Nothobranchius furzeri: one gene and its partners. The protein of the gene in region 3 purifies or fractionates together with the protein of the main gene of each other region. This does not show direct contact. Links are inferred from orthologs where the notes say so. Each region holds a gene or a part of one and is shown on either strand. Other genes may lie near its edges.

Region 1 (3,545 bases), about 1.4 Mb from region 3:
TAACTGGTGGGGACACAACAACAGCTTTCAGCTGAATCGCTGACTAATCCCTGCTTTCTGTATTCCTATGCCAAATTTTCCCAGAAATCAACATTATTTAAGTGGAACTTGGGCAGATCTTCTTACCACTTTTTCTCCAGTCTTCCCAGAGAGGATGGCTCTGGCCTTGGCCTTGGTGAGGGGGAAATGTTTTAGATAGGCTTCATAGAGATGGCGGGCCAGAGCCCTCAGATCCGCTGCCTCCGGGTGCAAATGCTCCATGTCGGATGAGAACTCGGCCAGCAGTTTGTCCTTCTCCGCCTGGGGCATGCGGCCAAAACGAATGGCTGGGAAAGGAAACAGAAATGTACATTAGAGCACCACGGAAAAACAAAAAATACACAAATAAACAGTGTTAGACTCAGGCTGAAATGTTTCATCTAACACCGTTGTGGTGTTTCAAACTGAGCTATAGACAATTTGTTTATAACTTTATTGTTTACATTAAAGCAGAAATCCGAAGATTTTTGTCAGAGGGCACCGAGGCAGAAAAACGTATTGCACCTTTAGCCCCTCACAGATACTTCCGTGATTTTGGTTAGAAGCAACAACACTTAGTCGTGAACACGCATCTCTAGCCGGCCCACAGATAAAACATCGTTTTACATTGCAATTACATTTAACTCTGGAGATATGAAAAAAAAGTAATTTAAAAAAAGCTTTGGCAAAGCTTTAAATTGAACCTTTTTTCTTTGGTGAAAATAGAAGAATGTTTATTTCTACGCTGGTAAAGAGTTGCATAACAAAAGCAGTAAATGAATCAATGGCCTTTTGTCTTTGGAACTTTAAACTTTTTATTCCCCACCACAACGGTGTTAGATGAAACATTTCAGCCTGAGTCTAACACTGTTTGCAATTTTTATTCCAGCTGAATGATACTGTATGTTTAACTCCCTGTTTTCATGTTATCCAGCTTATTCACATATATTTTAAATACTTACTTGTCCAAAAGAAATGCCGCCAACTCTGCATTGTCTATACGTCCTCAAACACTCAAGCATGCTTGGTGACAAAAGTGGATTTGTGATGCTATTGGCTAAAGATGAGCGGCGCTCAATTCAAACTGCATGGGGCTCTGTGTGTGTGTGTGTGTGTGTGTGTGTTTGTGGGGGTGGTGGGGTGGTGGTGGTGGGGGGGGGGGGTGTTTAGACTTAGCAAACTAAAAAAATGACTTACTGTCTACATTATATCAGCGTACAAAGTAAGAATATCACTTTTATGGATTTCTAAAACTTAATTATTAAATCCTGAAAGGGGAAAACTCCAGATTTCTGCTTTAACTCCTAAATCCACAACCTTCCTATTTTACCTTTACCATTGTAAACTGACGTCTGTTTTAAGTAGCTGCATAATGCTTCTCTTTTGGAGCCTTTCAGCTGCTTGTGCAGTGGCTCAGTTTCCTAAGAGCTAAAATATTTAGACGGCGATCTATGAATTAGATAGAACGGCTAACGTCCACATGATGACCTTCTATCTGGACCTAACAAATATTACTGAAGCACAGAAATTTTTATTCCAGCTGAATGACACTGTATGTTAAACTCCCTGAACAGTTCCTAATATCTAACTGCATCACAAACAGGCTAAAGCAGTTTTTTTCATGATGTGAAACCAGATTTCCGAGCGTTTAAAGGCTGAACCCAGAACAGAGACATGAAGGGAATTCTTAGACAGCTTTTAACCGAGCCTCACGAAGACAGATGCAGAGGTAATAACTTAAGATAAATGGTCCTGTAACATTTTTAGCAGTTGTGTATTAGTTCCCTTACCGTGATGATAGCTTTGTGATTTAATTTACACGACTCACTGAAAAATGATCCCTATCTACAGTTTTTCCCCTTCCCTTCTGTTGCTGCAGGTAATTTAACACCAAACATTTAACAATACTGAACAAAGAGGGCGGGTTTGATTTCATTTGCAAAAAGCGTGTGCTCTTTTTGTCTAGAAATATTCAGAGCATCGAGTTTAGAAGCGTAGTTTGTTTGAAGTATATTTTTGTGGCACTCACAACATTATAGTCTTTCAGGCTGTTAATTTAACTTCACTACTTTAAATGTAGTTTTGGCTAAGTTTACACTGAAAGTTGAATTTGCACAGAGTCTGGTGAGAATTAGGAAAGATTTCGTGCCATTCAGTGACGTCTAACCGTTTCTTAAAAGGTGGAAATCATTAATTATCCCCCACTTCCATTCAAACCTGCTTTTACTGCAGCTTTACGTGGTTGTGTAACTCTTGTGTATTCGATGAAAGCACACCTTGTGCAAATTAATCCAAACAAAAAAAGTGGGCCTACCACTTATTGAGCAACAAGCCTGCAGTAGTGACACAGCATGTTTGGAGAAATCGGTTAAACTCGGAGTGCTCTGAGATGTCAATCATTGGTAAATTAAAAACCCACACTGGGCACATTTTCAAAGCCTCGGCTGTAAACTCATGAAGCAGCGAGATAGGAGTGAACGTGGGCTGAGTCACACACACACACACACACACACACACACACACACACACACACACACACACACACACACACACACACACACACACACACACACACACACACACACACACACACACACACACACACACACACACACACACACACACACACACACAGATAAACAAACCAATTATAGTAGATTGTAACATTAATGTGCAGCACTTTTGCTCATAAATCTAAATGTAAATATTTTGTTCACCAACTCCACCCATAAGGTCAATGCATTGGAGGGTAGCTTCTGAAGAGTCTTAACGAGAAGATTCTGATGAACAAGCTGCTTTCTTCTAACTGTTATGCTTCTGGTAGAAAAAAAATGAAATTTAACAGTCAGCTTGCCTTTGCATAACTGAGAAACTACTGCAGCAGTATATTTGATTCAAGTTTTAAAAGACCATATTTGCTCATAGTAGCAAACAGGAAGCAGTTAATAGACTAAATAGCTTGAGAAAACCAGAGAAAAGAAAGAAAATGATGAAACAATCATTTAAAGGTCTAGAACACTTGTTTAACTCATTCACTGCCAATGACGACTAAAGCCGTCATTTGCATTTTTTTTAACTGTGTGGGCATCGGAACGAGCCCCCGCACAGTGAGAACAAATACCTCAGCTCTAAAGCCGATCTTCATCCGCATACGTCACACGTCACGTGATCAGGAAGCAGAAAATCCATGTGTTAGATCGTTTTGGGCCGCTGCTTTAAAAAAAGTGAGGCGCGAACCGGAAAAGCTTCTGTTCAACAACGGATTATGAAAGAACGGACAAAGAGCGGATAAAGCTCAAAACGCGCAGATTCTTCCCGACATAAGAGGTGAGTCTCCGCTTTGTTTTGGTTGTTTTGGCGTCGACATCATCCTAGGGCGCAACGTTTTGTGACTCTTAAAAAACAGTAAAAACGGTGAGAAACGCTGGCAGCGAAGGGCTTTACTGATCAGGAAACGACTGGCAGCGAATTAGGTAATCAGTACATTTGCTGTGGTCTCTAGTGGGAATGAATGCCTTGTAAGTCGT
Region 2 (4,039 bases), on a different chromosome or scaffold from region 3:
GAGTTAAAAGTGATTCTGATGTTTAGAATACTTTGATTTACAGATACAGTTCATAATCATTTTGACTAATGTATAATGTGTCCAATTTGCTGGCAATAAATCAAGTGACTGCTTGGAACAAAAGTCAAAACTAGATTAATAACTCCCTCAGATTAACAAATATAAAGAAAGGATGCTACAAACAACAATAAATACAATTATCAGTTACTTTAAAGAGGCAATGTGTAGTTTATACCATTAATCTCTGTAAATATCCATCAAAACAATGTTGAAAATAAATTAAATGATGTCCAGTTGTTGAAAAATATTGGCAGCATTGTACCATATAACCATAAAAATTGAGTGTAAACTGCATTGTGTGCAGGTCAAAAATCTTTGGAGGACGCCATATTAGATGCCAAGTTTCCTTCTGGAGGGCTCGCAAGCTTGTGCCTGTCGATGATATCACACTAGATGATTGGCTAAGCGTACAACCTACAGAAGTTACGTTACCACATTCAAAAATATCTTGGCAGTGAGAAACAATAATTTAATAACAAAACTGCTAAACTTTTTCCAAAACCTATGTGAGAGAACAGAATTGAAAAAGAGATGCAATATATATTTGGCTGAACGGTATTTTCGTAGTATGATGACGTAGGGCTGGGCAATATGGCCTAAAATATATATTCTGATATAATCTGAAGCATGTGCAATAACAATATTTATTGCGATGTATTTTTTCCTCTGTTAATATATGTCAAAATGACATGCTTTTAAAAATCCACATTTGGCAAATATATTGCAGCAGAATAAAGACGTCCAAAAAGTAGAATGCTCCTCCTCCTCTGCCCTCTCCATACTTGCAGTCACTGCCATTCTGTTGTCCCAATGTCAGGGAGAGTGCACATTTATTGACACCATGTGTTACCATGATAGAGCCAAAAACTCTATCATTACCCAATTTTATATCGTTTCTACCTTATATAGTTTATACTGCCCACCACTACATCATTGGCAAGCGCAGGACCCCTGAGCAGCTCTGGAAAGTACAGCACCAGAAAATTAGCATCTGCATTGCATTCTCTCTATGGAAATACCTGAAGAACAATCAAAGTTTGAGGAGACACGCCAAGGTTGCATGCTTTCTGTTCCACAGGTAACAACATTTACGGTAATGTTTTTTTTTTTTAACTAGCGACAGTCACAGCAATATGGTGTAAAACTACCCTGAAATGTATGTACTGCCCCCTGGCACCAGGAAACTACACGTTGCCACCTTAAGATGGTAAAATCTTTTAAAATTTTTAAGCATTTTTCATTAGCGGTTTGCTTCTTGGCCGTTTGCACATTACTCCTGCTTGGTTCAGTGAATACCAACTTGTTACCTAATGAAAAAGTTGCCATCAGTAATCGTGAAGCACTGTTTCATCCCAAAGTGCACACACTGATGGTTAAATAATACAGCCTTTAGAATTGTCAGAGCTAAAAATGGCATTTATTAATCCAGCTGACAGCTATGTTTCCCTCCTCCTTGCAGAGAAAAAAAATGAAATCAATAAGCCAAACCACTATTCATAATTTATTCATCTGACCACTGAAAACCAAACACAGCTGAATTATTTACTGTTCCAAGGAGATCGTTTGAATTAATTAATTTAGAGTGTTAAATGTTAACTTTTCATCCCATGAGAGCATTTTTGTCTCTAATATATTTTGTCAAATGATAAACACCTTTATTTGCGTTTTTTTTTTACATATTTTCTCGTGTTTGCTGTTGCATTGCCTCCAATTCTGCCCACGCTATGAAAGCACCTGTTACACATAGTAACCTGCAGTGGATTTACTTGTATTAAATAAAAATGCTGATATATGTCTGTATAGAGGCATTGAGAGAAGATAGAGAGCCCATCTAGACTCGCCTACGCACTAACAACGCTAGAAAACGTTCCAGATTAAGGCCAAGTTATATAACTACCAGTGCACATTGCATGTGTGCTATTGGCTCGTTATGCTTAAAACGTGTTTTTGACAACATAATCTGGGTCATACCAAGCTGCTAGGAGTTGTTTCAATTCACTTGAAGTGCAAAATAGCAATATGATGACACATAGATAACAGACAATAATACATTTGAGCCGTAATTTACAGATTAGCTGGTGAACTGTTTCCTTAGCTAAAACTTTGATGTTTAATAAACGCTAAATAACTGAGTTTGAAATATTAACGCGAGAAAATATCTGGAAATATTTGCTTCTCACACAAGAAGTGGTGCCTTTAACGTGCAATAGACAGTAAAAGCAGTGGCAGATTGGTATAATTTGTTATAAAGCTGTAATAAACGGATAAAACAGCGCGTGAGATGCTAACTTTACGGTCAGCATCAAACCAACCTGCTAGCTCTCCTTACCTCGGTATGGTGATGCATTTTGTGTTGATATTCTGCGTGGTGATGGCTTTCTCCAGTTCATCCAGCTGTCCCGTCTTCTTCAGCTTCTTCACTAGACTTTTCACCGCCTTTTCGCACCACTTCTCCTCCTGGCCGTTCTGCTCTCCCTTCTTCCAGCCCAAAAGTCTTTTGACGATGGGGGGAGTGAAAGGCAAAATTGACATCTTGAGTTCAGTCAAGTCCGTCCTGTCTCGAGAAGTCTGCTGGGTTTTTTTTCTTCTGGACGTTATACGAAAACGACTACCTTTGTGGCGGTCTACGCAGTGACGAAGAGAGCAAGTCTTCGCTAAAAAGTTATTGTTTTTTATCTAGAGCTACACAGGAGCATCCCAGGGCCAAACTTCTCAGTTTTAGCGAACTCGTTTACCCTGGCTCGAGGAGGTAAACGGCGGATTGTGCACCGGTATTCTTTGGTGCTGTGGATTTAGTGCTGCTCCGCAAGACCAACTAGTCCGTCTGCACCTACTCAAGCAAATGTTATTTAAATAACTCCAACCTGAATTAAAATACGATTTAAAACTATGAATAAAACGTTAAAAAATAAAGGAGTAACGCTAGTGGTGTGTTTTATTGACTGTTCTAATCCTCGAAGCGCAAAGTTTTGTGAAGTTCAGAACCCTCCGCGGTGTGTAGTCCGCCGGCTGAAATCTGCTTGAAGTCTGCATCAGATGCAAATGCAGGAGTTGCTGCTCAGACTCTATTCAGGCTTCAGACTGCTGCAGACCTGTAGCAGCTCTGTCACAGCAGCTGGCCAAAGGGGCCGTGCTGATGTTGCACAATCACTGCCTCTCCTCATGCTAGCAAACTGCTGCGGTCTATAAAAGCGGTCATACGCAGCACTTGATTCAGTTATGTAACACCAACCAGTTTATTTATTTTTTGTCCACACTAGTGCACTTAAAAATGTATGTTTTTTTCTTCAGAGGAACAAAGAAGCTTTGATGTTTATTTAAATGACTTTATCTCAGTTAACTTTATGTAACACAGTTCAAACTGTAATATCACATTTTTGTTTCTTCCCACTCAACACTAACATTTTTTTCTGATTTACCAGGAGAATACATTCATTTTTTGCTCATATGTTATGTTTTTAGAAATCGTCATATGCTCAAGTGTCTAAAGGTTAAGGTGTAGTGTAAAATATGTCCAGTGTGTGTTTGTTGTGTAAACACCTGGGGCTTGAGATCTCTAACACAGAACTTTCCAGTAATGCTCTCTGGGTTGTTCTACCTTCACACGACTGAATAACACTGGAGCTGCTGTAAGACAGAAGGTAATAGAAGTAGCTGCACGCATGCATGAGTTTGCACACTTTCTTGCCTCGGCTTGTTAGGCCTTCAGATGAGTGCTGCTACTCCTCAAGGTGGCAATTTAGTTTATTGCTTGGTTCAGCCTTTAAATTACAGCTATAGTCAAGCACATGCACACACTCTCATATGCATAAACACCCCCTCCTTCATGCACTGAATGTCAAAGAGTCAAGTGCCAGATGTACGACTGAGTGTGGAGTAGAGCTGAGCTCAGACAGTGATAGTGGGTAGCCATAAATGCATTTCAACGAAGAAGGTGGTCCTCTGTGGGTTTTTATCACTCAGAAAAGAGGAATAATGT
Region 3 (3,337 bases):
TCTCCAGTGTGCCAGCGGAGATGTGCTCTGAGGTGGGATGTCTTGCCGTAAATTTTCCCACAGCCACTAATGTGACAAATGTGCTGCTTCTTTTTATTTGGGTCTCTGTTGGACAAATAAAATAAACAATTGCCAAAACATGAGTTTGAAAGAATTATTTGCTTCCAAATTTCTAGGTCAAATTACCCTCTGTATCGAAGTAAGAATGGACACTAACCCCAAAATTCCACTATCTCCGCTCCGCTGCGCTCCGGCACGAACTCCGCAGCAAAATCGATCCCGTTGTAATCAATCAGAGCTGTTCCACTACTGTGGCCGTGCGGCGCAGTGCGCCGCCCGCCGTTCCGCCATCCGGCAAAAATAGGATCGATTCTATTTTTGCCGGACGCCGGAGCACCTCCGCAGTCAATGGACAGAAACCACAACCGCCCAACAGGAAAAGGAGTAAACACAGCTTCCGTTATTTCACAATAAATTGATTAAAAAAAGGCGTTTTTTGTTTCATATGCACAGGTTTAACAACTTTTAACAACTATCAATGGCGGCTGAACTTTAAATGCACAAAAATAAGCCATAAATACAGTTTCTACAATCAAAGTAGTCACACTTTGTTGATCCAAGCACTGCTGATCTCTCAACACAAATGATGGGCAGATTAAACAGTTCATTTCGATGCTGCTCCCACACAACGGGTCGGGTGTTTGGATCTAAGTTCCACGTTTATTGCTCGGACTGTATTGCAAGATCTCGAAAATCCCGCGCATGCCCGTTTGCGCACCTCAGGTCTCCGCACCGGAGCGGGTACCAGTAAAAATTGAGTTCGGAAGGGAGCGGCTGCGGAAGGCGGGGGCGGAGCGGAGGTAGTGGAATTTTGGGGTAATGGAAGATTGCAGGAACTTAAAACATTAGTTCTTCATTCTATCATCACCAATGCTCACTCGTCTCTTGGTGATTTCCATAGTGGAAAATGAATAAACAACGTATAACAGTCAAAACACTTGGACAACACTTCCTTTTATCCAAACTTATTTTGAGCCTGAGAGGGTTAAAAAAAAAACACATGAGCAATTAAATGGTTTCAAACAGCAAACCTGAATTACCTCACCACTAGATGTCACTAAATCTCATGTAATGAAAGAAAAATAGACATTTTTGACCAGCATTGACAAATGTACTTACGAAATGTTTTTTTTTAAGATAAAAGCATGTTTTGTTTTTGTGAAAAACTAATTACAAATAACATTTCATCATAAGAACATAAAAACTCAGAGTTACATTAAAATCTGACCAGGATGACATTATAACATAACCTTCAGTCACTCACCGGGCTTCTCCATCTTTGCAGAAAGGACAAGTGCAGGCTTCTCTGCGGTTCCGGCGCCCCTGAGAGGGTGGGCTCATGCTTGCATCTTCCATAACTGCACTACTGTCCAAACTTTCTCCAGCAGTCAGCAACGGCTGCTCACCTACACCCATGAAGGAAGAGCGTGGGAAAAAGTGTTGAGGATTTTCTTTGTCTGAAGAAATTTTATTTATCAAACTCGGTATAGAAAACAACCACACTTTTCAGCAAGGTTTCTACTTAATTTTTTATGACAATAACAAGTTGCCGTTAATTGTCTGCAGCTTAGCCAGAATGGCTGAACAACTGGTCAATGCATTTTGCATCCATGGGAAGAGAAGTGCATGCTTAGACTGAACACCAAAAACTCAGCTTCATCTCCACATAGCTGGCTAACTGGAGAGGATTATAGTGTTTTGTTGTACCATTGTAAACAAAACCATTCAACCAATTTGAATGATACGAATGTTTACGCTTTTTTTTACCCTCCACACTTGTGTAAATGCTAGTGTAAAGTCAGCTCTGACACTGAAAGGTGAATCAGATATTCCATAATTGATTTCTCACAATTGTTGGAATTTGCTCAATTTAGGAGCAACAAACACAAACAGGGTTGAGAGAAGAGGGGAATGGTCCTGTGCTGTAATCAGGGTAACTGCAGGTTGAAGTGAGTCAAATTTAAGACTTTTTAAGACCTTTTTTAAGGCCACTTTGACCAAATTTAAGCTATTTTTTAAAATGTAATTTCTGCTATAATTTCCTAACCACGCCACGAACGTGGGATTAGCCATCCAGTTACCATTAAACTTGCACTTCTCCATGGCGTAAGCTCCCACTAGCTTAACCAGCGAATGTGCTCATCTAAAAATAGCTCCCTTTCACAACCAACTGAATATGTGCGGTTCCGCTTACACCAACATCGTACACAAAAAATGCTGAACACTAACTAGAAATTCACAAAAATGTCATAGAAATAAAACAGTCTAGTTTATTGGGTCTTTGGTAATTTAAGACCTTTGGAAACTGTATTTAAGGATTATTTGTCATTTTTAAGGATTTTCAAAGCCTTAAATTTGGAAAAGTCAATTTAAGACTTTTTAAGGACCCGCGGATACCCTGTGTAATACAGTAACTATGCCAAACTGCCTTCAGTGTAATTTAACTATCAGATGAAGAAATCGAACACAAACAGCTTGTTTACAGTTTAAGGCTCAGGGAAAACTCAGATAGTAGAACTGGTTTAACCAGAATTTAACTTGCATGCAAAGTGAAGCGATACCAAACATCGAAACCTCATTTTAAAGATACTAATCCTGAGACATTGTTGTTGTTTGCATGTACTTTTTCTCTTTTTGCATCTAAATTTTATCATATTTAGGAAATAAATGGTTCGTAAACAGTCATGATAAAATGTGGGCTAATTAAATAGAAATGACACAAATTTGTTTTCCATAACTCAGGAGTTATAGAAAGCATGGTCCTACTGTTGACTGGAGGTTATTATAAAGCATATTGAGACACATAATGAGAAACTTATAAACAAGCTGGTCTAACCTGATGCACCTGTGATGTTGATGGGGATTCCCTGCAGAGGATGCATCTGCAGCCCTGTGCTTCCAAGTGAGTTGAGATTTATGGTCTGAAGATTTGGGATCTGCACCGGTACCGTTCCAGCTCCGGTAGCTCCTTGAGTCTGCCCGAGCTGGGGCAGAGACTGCACTGGGGCTAGTGTTATCTGTGCACCTGCTGGACTCTGGATGTGAAGGGTCTGCCAGCTAACCTGGCCATTAGGGCCTACAGTGCGCAGGAGGATAGGCCCTGTGTTTGGCATAATCTGAAGATTTTGAAGCCCCTCTTGGCTGAGTGTTGGAGCTGCAAACACCTGACCACCTGCACTTGCAACGGTACTGGCTTGTATGGTCTGAAGAGGTGCTCCACTTTGAATAACCTGAGGAGACTGAATGAGGATTTGTTGAGGCTGCTGCTCTGCTCTGT
Region 4 (4,081 bases), on a different chromosome or scaffold from region 3:
CAGATAAAGAGCAAAACATAATGGGAGGATACATCTCTTACGGTAATCTATTCTGAATGTGAAGTCAACTGCCTGTGGCAGCGTTCAACCTTTGTCACATTAGATCATGAGAGGAAACCGTGCAAGGCTCCAGACAGAAACAAGAGGAGTGCTTCTGTTTCTTCCTCCCTGCAGACTTCTATGACCTTGATGTGTTTGCAGGCACCCAGAAGCATTGTGGCAGAGGAAACACCACCCAAATAATCAATGGATGGGGAAATGCAATTAAGGAAAGTGTTTACTCTCTCTCTCTCTCTCTCTCTCTCTCTCTCTCTCTCTCTCTCTCTCTCTCTCTGTGAAAGCTAAGCAGTGAGAAAGACAAAAGAAAGCATGCGTGTGATCGTGTTACAAGTCTATGCAAACTATTACAACACACCAAGGGGAATTGTTATCTTTACATAAAAATAAATTATATGCTTGTAAGATTATCATTTTTATTTTATAGCTTTATCTTTGTGTTGATTTTTGACAGATATATAAACGATCTCCCATTACCTAAATGTGTTTTTGCAGCGGTGTAATTCAGTTTTCTTTTCTTTTCACTGTTGCATCTGTAAGTGGCGTATGGCCTTGATGTCACTGACTGTACCTGCCAGACTCAAGGTGTTTTGGCCAAACAGGTTCAATATTAATAAACGCTTATTACATAATCCACCAGTTTAAGGTTTGTTGACTGTTTTATCTATCTATAAATCCATTTATCCACACGTGTGTCATTTATAAATATTATTTTAAATAAACTTAGTTTGATTACGTTTGGACACTTGTATTAATTATTTTTGTCCCGTTAGGATTAACACTAAACTGCAGATGTGTTATTAGACTCGGTGACGTCAGCATTGCCAGTAACTCAGATGACTTCCAGGCTGGCTCTTCTTTTCAAACGCCTTTCCTCCCTCCGTAACAGCCGAACATGCTGTTCTTTGAACGGAAAACCCCGAGGAGGGAGGACTAAGAGGAACAGCCCAGTTGCGACAGCAGTAAACATAGCACTCAACCAAACATGCTGTTACGCCGCGCATCTTTTCGTCACACATCTGCTCTGATTTGGTTAACAGAAATTTCTATATTGCTATTTGCCACTTGGAATGTCAATCAACAACAGAAGCGCGTTTGATTGGCTGAAAAGACTTGCAGAGCGGCTGATGGGTTGGGCTACTGGCTCTAGGGTTGAAGAAGTGTTTCTCGTGTTGTTAAGGGAAGAGTAAAGGTTGGCATCTTTTGTGAGTGTTTTCTCTCGTTTATGTGGGTTTACCGTTTTAGAAGAAATTAAGTGTTGCCTTCAGTGTACTTTTAGTTAACAGTTTTCGGGTTTTTGTCGGAGAATCTTTCCAAAGACGTGACAACGACTCGGGTAAGCGACTGCATTCAAACTAACTTACTCCATCTTTATTTGTGAATGTTTTTTTTATGTAAACCCGTTATCAGTTTATATTTACTAATGGCCATGATATAAAAGGCTTGGCCAGCTGAACGCTGCTAAACGCCTATTTGTGCTGGTCATAAGTTATTCTGTGTGCAGAAACATTGTGTTCCGCTATGGCATATAGCAAAGTTATTATTGCCTTACTGCTTTTAATTAATTATTTCCGATATAAAATATTACAGCTAAGACGTTCAGTCTTGAATAGTTGTTTTTTTTTCTTTTGTTGTTGTTGTTTACTTTCAATAATGTGTTTTGGCTCAATTTATCAGTAATTTCGATCTGTTGGTAAAACAAAACAAAAAAAAATTAAAAAAACAGTAAAAGAGAGAAAGAGCATCTTCCAGGATATGAATATGACCCCATAAAATTCCAGGCCAGTGTTTGTTATAAGCCGTCGTTGTTGTCACGCTCATCTTCACCCCATCATGTGCAGAGCTGCATAACAGGATCAGATCCATGATCACTTTCAAAATTAAAAGAAAAGAAAAGTGTAGTATTGACTAATGACACTTACTATTTTAGTTTGATGATGTTACAACTGAAAAAGAAAACCCATTATGATCATCATTATTATTGTGTCCAATAACCCGCAAGTGTCCTGCCTGTTAACTGTCAGTAAAATGACAAACTTGGCATGATTGCTTCTTTTTTTTTTTTTGTGGAGAGCTCTACTTCCTGGAATGTGGCTTGTCTGTTTTAAGGAATCTCATTGTGCATTACCGTAAGTGGTAAATGCTCACTGACAAAACACACCTAACAAGATTAGAATTTTTTTTTTATGAGTCATGTTGAATATTGAAGTCCTACTCTGCCCGTCTGGAGTGTGAAAATACTCATATGATGGGATACTGACAAAATTAGGCCAAATCATTGTCTGTGTGTAGCTTTGTGTAACATGAGCATCTTCAAAAGGTTCCTATCATGTATCATGTGAAATGTGTGTGACCTCAGCAAAAGGTCTTTGTAAAATATCCACCAAACAAAGGGCACAGTCCTGGGACTCACCAGTGCATCAGTTTACAGAAAATTTTGGCTGTTTTTACCTTCTTAGCTAAACAAAAGAAGTAAATAATCAAGCACTACTGTGTCTCCTCTGTGACTGTAGACACTGAATAATTGATTATACAGCCAGGACCCTCCCCAAACATAATTAAATCATCAAAAACATGAGAGAGATAACTCCAGTAGCATTTATTCTTTTTGGATAGCAGGTAAGAAGGTAGGGCGTTTGTTCAAAATTTTCTAAATAAAGCAGTACCATTGATTTGACCATGGGCAATCCTCTTGTGATGTCACGTTTGTTGGGGTTTCACTTCCTCAGCAATTCTCACCATGTGTTAGCATCATTTTCATATACCAGTGAAAGAGGAGCATGTGTGATGTGAACTTATATAAGGTGACACAAATGCTTAAAAAACACCTTTTTAGCTCAGTTCTTATTTTATTACAGCGTATTAACTACTGTATCAAAACATGTTTGAATTTCAGCGTATTAAAGGATAAAATGAAAGCTTATGAAACACTGTTTTTCCATTGACCTTTAAATTTGGCAGAAACAGGTGATGCTGATATCCATCCATCCATCCATTGTCTGAACCCGCTTTGTCCACATATGGTCTCGGGGGGGGGGGGGGGGGGGGGGGGGGGGGGGGGGGGGTGTCAATGAGCAATCAGGCGGGGTACACCCTGGACAGAGAGCCAGTCCATCGCAGGGTGATGCTGATATCGCTGACCTTATTCTTTTTAGCTTTTACAAAGGAGTCACGCCTAAATGTAGAATAGCCTCCCTTCATATTCCAAGTCACGTGGCCTAATGTACACAGATTTACGATGAAACTATTAATCGTGTGTGCTGTCAGATAAGACCTACATAATGCTGATGTTTTGGGTGTTTTGAATGGAATAAATTATTAAATGTTTCTGTTTCTTTTAAATATGCTGAATCATGAAAGATTTTGACAGAATATTAAGTCCCAAGTTTTATCGTTTACAATTTTATCAACACTTACGGCTGTTTTATTTAGTGGATCGCATCATGAAACCAAACAGAAGGGCTGTTACACTAGCTCTGCTTTAGCTTGTGTATACAAATACTGCCAAGCTCATTGTACAAGTTAAGATTGTGTGCTTCACCAGAGTTTAGGTGATACCGTAACATTATCCTTGTAATGTAAGCATTAAACAAAAGCTTTGCTTTGGTATTTAATTTCCATGACAGGGAAGACGGCTCTGCTGGATTCACTGAATACCTTTTTTGTCGGTGTGCAGAAGACAGTAATCCTCCAGGGACCCATGCAACCTCATTTTGGTCAGATAAAAGCCTTGTGTAACAAGGTAAATGAAAGATCTGATCTGAAGTTGCATTATAATTCTAAGAAATGCAATGTGAAGTTAATCATTAAAGACAGGAATGGTTCTGTAGTTTCTGATCCATGTGCTCTGTCGCTGACAGCTGAGGAAAGGAAGTGTGTTTTTTTCTTCATTGTTTCTAGTAAGCCTTTATACAAAAAACATTGGTTGAGATTATTAACTTCTCTCTACTTCGAGAGCTGACAGCTGTTCAGGACGTCCTGTATTTCTTGGCGGAAGTCTAGCGTTTCAGCAAGCAGGAAGTGA
Region 5 (4,181 bases), on a different chromosome or scaffold from region 3:
GTTTGCTGAGCTTACGTACAGTTTTAGTAAAGATTCTACGCAACGTTTGATAAATGAGACCCCTGAACTTTAATGATTCTTTTGTTCATGTAGCTATATTTTAGGTCTATTGTAAGAGGAAAAAGTACTTAAATTTTCTGTTTATGAAAAAAAAATGCAGTAAACGTTCAGTGTAAACAGTAAGCTATAATTTAACAAACGCCTATCCTTCACCTAAAGCAAGAGAACACCTATTTTGGATATTTGTATTTAAAAACAGTGGTATTTATTTGTGCTACACAAAAGTAAACAGTATGAAGATAAAATGTAAACTTTGATTTATTCTTTGGTAAATATGAAACATCTACTCTCAAAACCCAAAATGAAAGATAAACCCAAAGAAATGGAGAAATGAACATGCTTTTTAAACAAGAGGCAAAGCAAGTCAAAACTATTACACTGCAAACATGGTCTACTTTTATTTTATTTATTTATTTATTTATTTATGGGCAGTCAATGACATGCACTGGCTTGCAAAATGGCGCCATGAATTATGAAATTGCTGATTTTTCCATACGACACAAATGTGATCCCAGATGTTACGTTTAGCTCGGATGTTTACAGTCACAACATGTGAGCAAAACTTCCACTTTTTCCATGTTATTATTGTCCGCAAACTCAGAGAAGTGTTGTAAATATACTGTGTGTGAATAAGAGAGCAGCCCACCCCCAGTCACATGACCTGCAGCAGCCAATGGTATGAAACTGTGTGGCTCATTAACAAGGATGTTTATTTTCTATATCAGTGCCAACCCAATGTATTCAGTTTATGTACTCAGCCCTAATGTGTTCACTTGTTAGCGTGTTAAAAAAGGACAATTACCTTTGGCCAAAAGAAACACTGTCCAGCATGTCTGCATCGTCTCTCTCTCCCTTTAAAAGGAGACAATAAAATATTAACTATACAAGAAAACAGTTTGTGATATAAAAAATCCAACATTAACGAAACAAAACACATAAAATGTGTGACAAATAGAGCTTAAACTCAACTTACTTGCCATACGTGGTCGAGGTAAAGATCTTCTTACAGGTTCTTACAAAAAAGAAGAAGAAAATGTTATGTCGTGTTTAAATCTTTGCCAGTTACCACTCCGACGGAATGAAAAGTGTCCGTGTTCACTCACTTCTCAAACCTCTGGTAGAGCGCTAACAGCACATCATATTTCTTCTCCAGTCGTGTAAGAACAGAGTTCACTTTGGTGCTTATCGTATCCAAGTTCAAATCCATCTGCCTCACCAGTTCCATGAAGAGTTTAAAACTTGAGTCAAAAGGAGAAAGAACGTTAAGAATAAGGGCATTTATTACTAATAGTCAAATAACCATTTACTAAAATCATTAAAAACACATTTTTTATCTTGTCAGTATTCAGACATTAGAAGGAAAAATAATGTAAGATACTAAATAACCAAACTGAATCTTCTACTTGATTGATAAGAAACATGAGGAAAACATGGACAGACAGTGCTGCTATAGAAGCAGAGAAAAGCCGCCATGGGAGCACCCACGTCAGTGCAACTAAAAAGGGGAGAGGGGATCATGATTAAAAATAATAATGGTATAATTTTAGACAAGCATCTTTATTCTAACGATAATTCAAAACACCACAAAAAAGATGTGTTATGCTTTTAGAAGAGTGCACCACAAGGAAAACTCAGCTGACACTCAGTTCTTACTTCATACTGATAGCTTTTAGGATCTGAGTCAAGGTGAAACAGCCAACATCCATGTCTGTTACAGTCACAAACAGACAAGCACCCCAAAGCTTTAGCTGACGATCCTTAAAAAAACAAAACAAAAATACACAGTTACAATCAATGTAACTAACAGGATAAAATTTATCTGTATCACTATAAACATTCACAAAATACGTGTATGAATGAGAGGGACCCAGATCAGAGGGTTTGGAGAAAAGGAGGAAGATTTTAAACACATCAGTCCAAAGTAATGGAGTGTAGAAAAAAGGTGTGATCAAGAATGAGTCCATCAGAGGGTCAGCTCTTGTTAGATGTTTGGGAGATAAAGTCAGAGGACATGTCCAGAGAAGGGACAGTGGAGAATACTTAGGTTGAACCTCATCCTTACTTTAACGATCTCCATGGATTCCTGCACTATTTTCCACAAGGACCAGGCACGGTCACACACCAGGCCAGTAACATGAAGGCTCTTACACAGACTCACAAACTCTCCATCCTTGTCTCTGTGTCTGGAAGATGAAAACACACAGATCCCAACATGAAAGACAGCCAACAGCAGCAGCTCTCTCTCTCTCTGTCTGTAAACCTAACAGGTCCAAATATAAGGAGTCTATGTTCAGTTTACTCCATTTAATAATGTTCACGGCTAAAAATTCCCTTTAAACTCAGATATTAGCACCAACAAAGGCCTGCGTTAACTTTGGCCAACAAGATGGCCACAGAAAAGCTATCAATACTACTAGAACTAGCTAAACATGAATGTAAAACTAAACCCAACAGCTGATGACACTCTTGGTGTTGTGTTGTAACTCAAACATCTTTACTTTTCTTACTCTTTCTCAGATAATTCCGGACTGTCCTTGTCTGGAGAGGCGTTGTCAGCTCCGGACTTCGGCTGCTTGTTGTGTACCATCCCGGAGTGACGTTTCTTAGGTGGCATACTTCTCGTCTCTGGGTACCTGACAAGCAACTTTTATCAACCCAAGAAACTTGCACTTTTTATTTTATTTAAGGCAACGGCTAATATTATTCGGGTTGGACACGCAAATAAGCTCCGTAGCAACAATACAACAAAATCCGAACTGCTTCCTGATGCTGTTGAAAGTGTGTGCTTCTTTTGTTCAAAAGGAGAGCGCGGCGGAGAGCCGGTGACCCCACCCTCTCTAGTTTACGCTCATGATTTTCTTAACAAACACCACCTACTGAGTTCCAACAACAGTCATGTTTTGTTTCAACTCGACGGCGTAAAAAAATCTAAAAAATCACTACAATAAACAAGTCGTAACGTTATGTTTGTTTTAATAGTTCTCGCGGACCGGCGTGAAGGACCACGTGACAAAAAACCCAAAACGAACTTACCCTAACTCACGAGACCAAAACGCGGGAAAATATATCTACGTCACATCCGCTTTTGCATTTTCCCCGCCACTGAGGGACAGTAGAGTGCGCCCACAGCTTTAAACTACTGTAATATTACGTTCAACTACCTATTAAAGTTAAAATATATATTTTTTTATGTAAAAAACGCACAAAACAGTCAATGGTTACTACATTGCTTCTAATAAAATACACCAAAAACACAGTTCTGTCAGAAATTACTTTGTTTTGGAAAAACAGCGAGTCGATCATCTACGGTGTAGCATTTACTAGTCAAAACTGAAATACAGTTATCAGAATGAACTTTTCTACAAGTAGATATGTTTTAGACTTCCATCCCGAGTTGTGGTTAGGATGCGTAAACATTTGGTCCAGCTATACCCAGAAATATTTCAATTTATATACAGCACTTCAAGCAGTTTGAAAGTAAAAGACTCCTGTACCAGTTTGTTTTGGTAGATCTATAGTTGTGTAACATGAAATAAAAACTAAACAAATAGGTACAATTTTTATTTCACTTCTCGCTCTACGTTTTTGTTTTTGTTGGGAGCTGAAGCAAAAAAACTAAGTAAAATTTAGAGCCTTCAGCCTTGAGCAAATCGTTTCCTTTTCTGGGATGCAGCAATAACCTGAATCTTAAGTATTAATAAAACTGAAAAAGGTACAAAAGAGATGAACCCATCAACACATTACAGACAGACCGCTTAGAACAAACACATTTATTTGGATAGATCTGTGGAACGTACCATAGATGACAGTTTTGCAGCTTTATTTTTTATTTTGGCACCAGCAAGGTGGTTCTTCAGTTTGCTACAACAGGTGAAACAACTTCATCATTTCCTGCTGTCTGACCTGTAGCTTTTCACACAAAAAAATATAATCTCAGATATTCGAAATTATATTTTTGCTCATCAGAATTCAATATATATATATATATATATATATATATATATATATATATATATATATATATATATATATATATATATATATATATATATATATATATATATATATATATATATATATATATATATATATATATATATATGCCATTCCAATCCACATTT

Evidence for each region.
Region 1: the proteins of sp1 (region 3) and pparg purify together in Homo sapiens (affinity purification with western blotting; 3 studies listed by BioGRID). This does not show direct contact. The link is inferred for Nothobranchius furzeri from reciprocal best matches to the Homo sapiens genes SP1 and PPARG.
Region 2: the proteins of sp1 (region 3) and smad3a purify together in Homo sapiens (affinity purification with western blotting; 7 studies listed by BioGRID, with this or other methods). This does not show direct contact. The link is inferred for Nothobranchius furzeri from reciprocal best matches to the Homo sapiens genes SP1 and SMAD3.
Region 4: the proteins of sp1 (region 3) and stat3 purify together in Homo sapiens (affinity purification with western blotting; 4 studies listed by BioGRID and IntAct, with this or other methods). This does not show direct contact. The link is inferred for Nothobranchius furzeri from reciprocal best matches to the Homo sapiens genes SP1 and STAT3.
Region 5: the proteins of sp1 (region 3) and rb1 purify together in Homo sapiens (affinity purification with western blotting; 3 studies listed by BioGRID). This does not show direct contact. The link is inferred for Nothobranchius furzeri from reciprocal best matches to the Homo sapiens genes SP1 and RB1.

What each region holds. Positions count from the first base shown.
Region 1 is NC_091743.1:63,452,064-63,455,608, reverse strand, and holds part of pparg (peroxisome proliferator-activated receptor gamma), read right to left. Parts: intron 327-3,545; coding exon 127-326; intron 1-126. UniProt on the Homo sapiens protein: Nuclear receptor that binds peroxisome proliferators such as hypolipidemic drugs and fatty acids.
Region 2 is NC_091749.1:43,502,258-43,506,296, reverse strand, and holds the start of smad3a (mothers against decapentaplegic homolog 3a), read right to left. Parts: upstream 2,819-4,039; 5' UTR 2,593-2,818; coding exon 2,390-2,592; intron 1-2,389. UniProt on the Homo sapiens protein: Receptor-regulated SMAD (R-SMAD) that is an intracellular signal transducer and transcriptional modulator activated by TGF-beta (transforming growth factor) and activin type 1 receptor kinases.
Region 3 is NC_091743.1:62,039,821-62,043,157, reverse strand, and holds part of sp1 (transcription factor Sp1), read right to left. Parts: coding exon 2,897-3,337; intron 1,467-2,896; coding exon 1,325-1,466; intron 106-1,324; coding exon 1-105. UniProt on the Homo sapiens protein: Transcription factor that can activate or repress transcription in response to physiological and pathological stimuli.
Region 4 is NC_091745.1:6,845,703-6,849,783, reverse strand, and holds the start of stat3 (signal transducer and activator of transcription 3), read left to right. Parts: upstream 1-1,252; 5' UTR 1,253-1,393; intron 1,394-3,683; 5' UTR 3,684-3,799; intron 3,800-4,081. UniProt on the Homo sapiens protein: Signal transducer and transcription activator that mediates cellular responses to interleukins, KITLG/SCF, LEP and other growth factors. Once activated, recruits coactivators, such as NCOA1 or MED1, to the promoter region of the target gene.
Region 5 is NC_091750.1:48,282,525-48,286,705, forward strand, and holds the start of rb1 (retinoblastoma-associated protein), read right to left. Parts: upstream 2,824-4,181; 5' UTR 2,675-2,823; coding exon 2,568-2,674; intron 2,244-2,567; coding exon 2,123-2,243; intron 1,818-2,122; coding exon 1,714-1,817; intron 1,299-1,713; coding exon 1,164-1,298; intron 1,073-1,163; coding exon 1,034-1,072; intron 913-1,033; coding exon 863-912; intron 1-862. UniProt on the Homo sapiens protein: Tumor suppressor that is a key regulator of the G1/S transition of the cell cycle. The hypophosphorylated form binds transcription regulators of the E2F family, preventing transcription of E2F-responsive genes.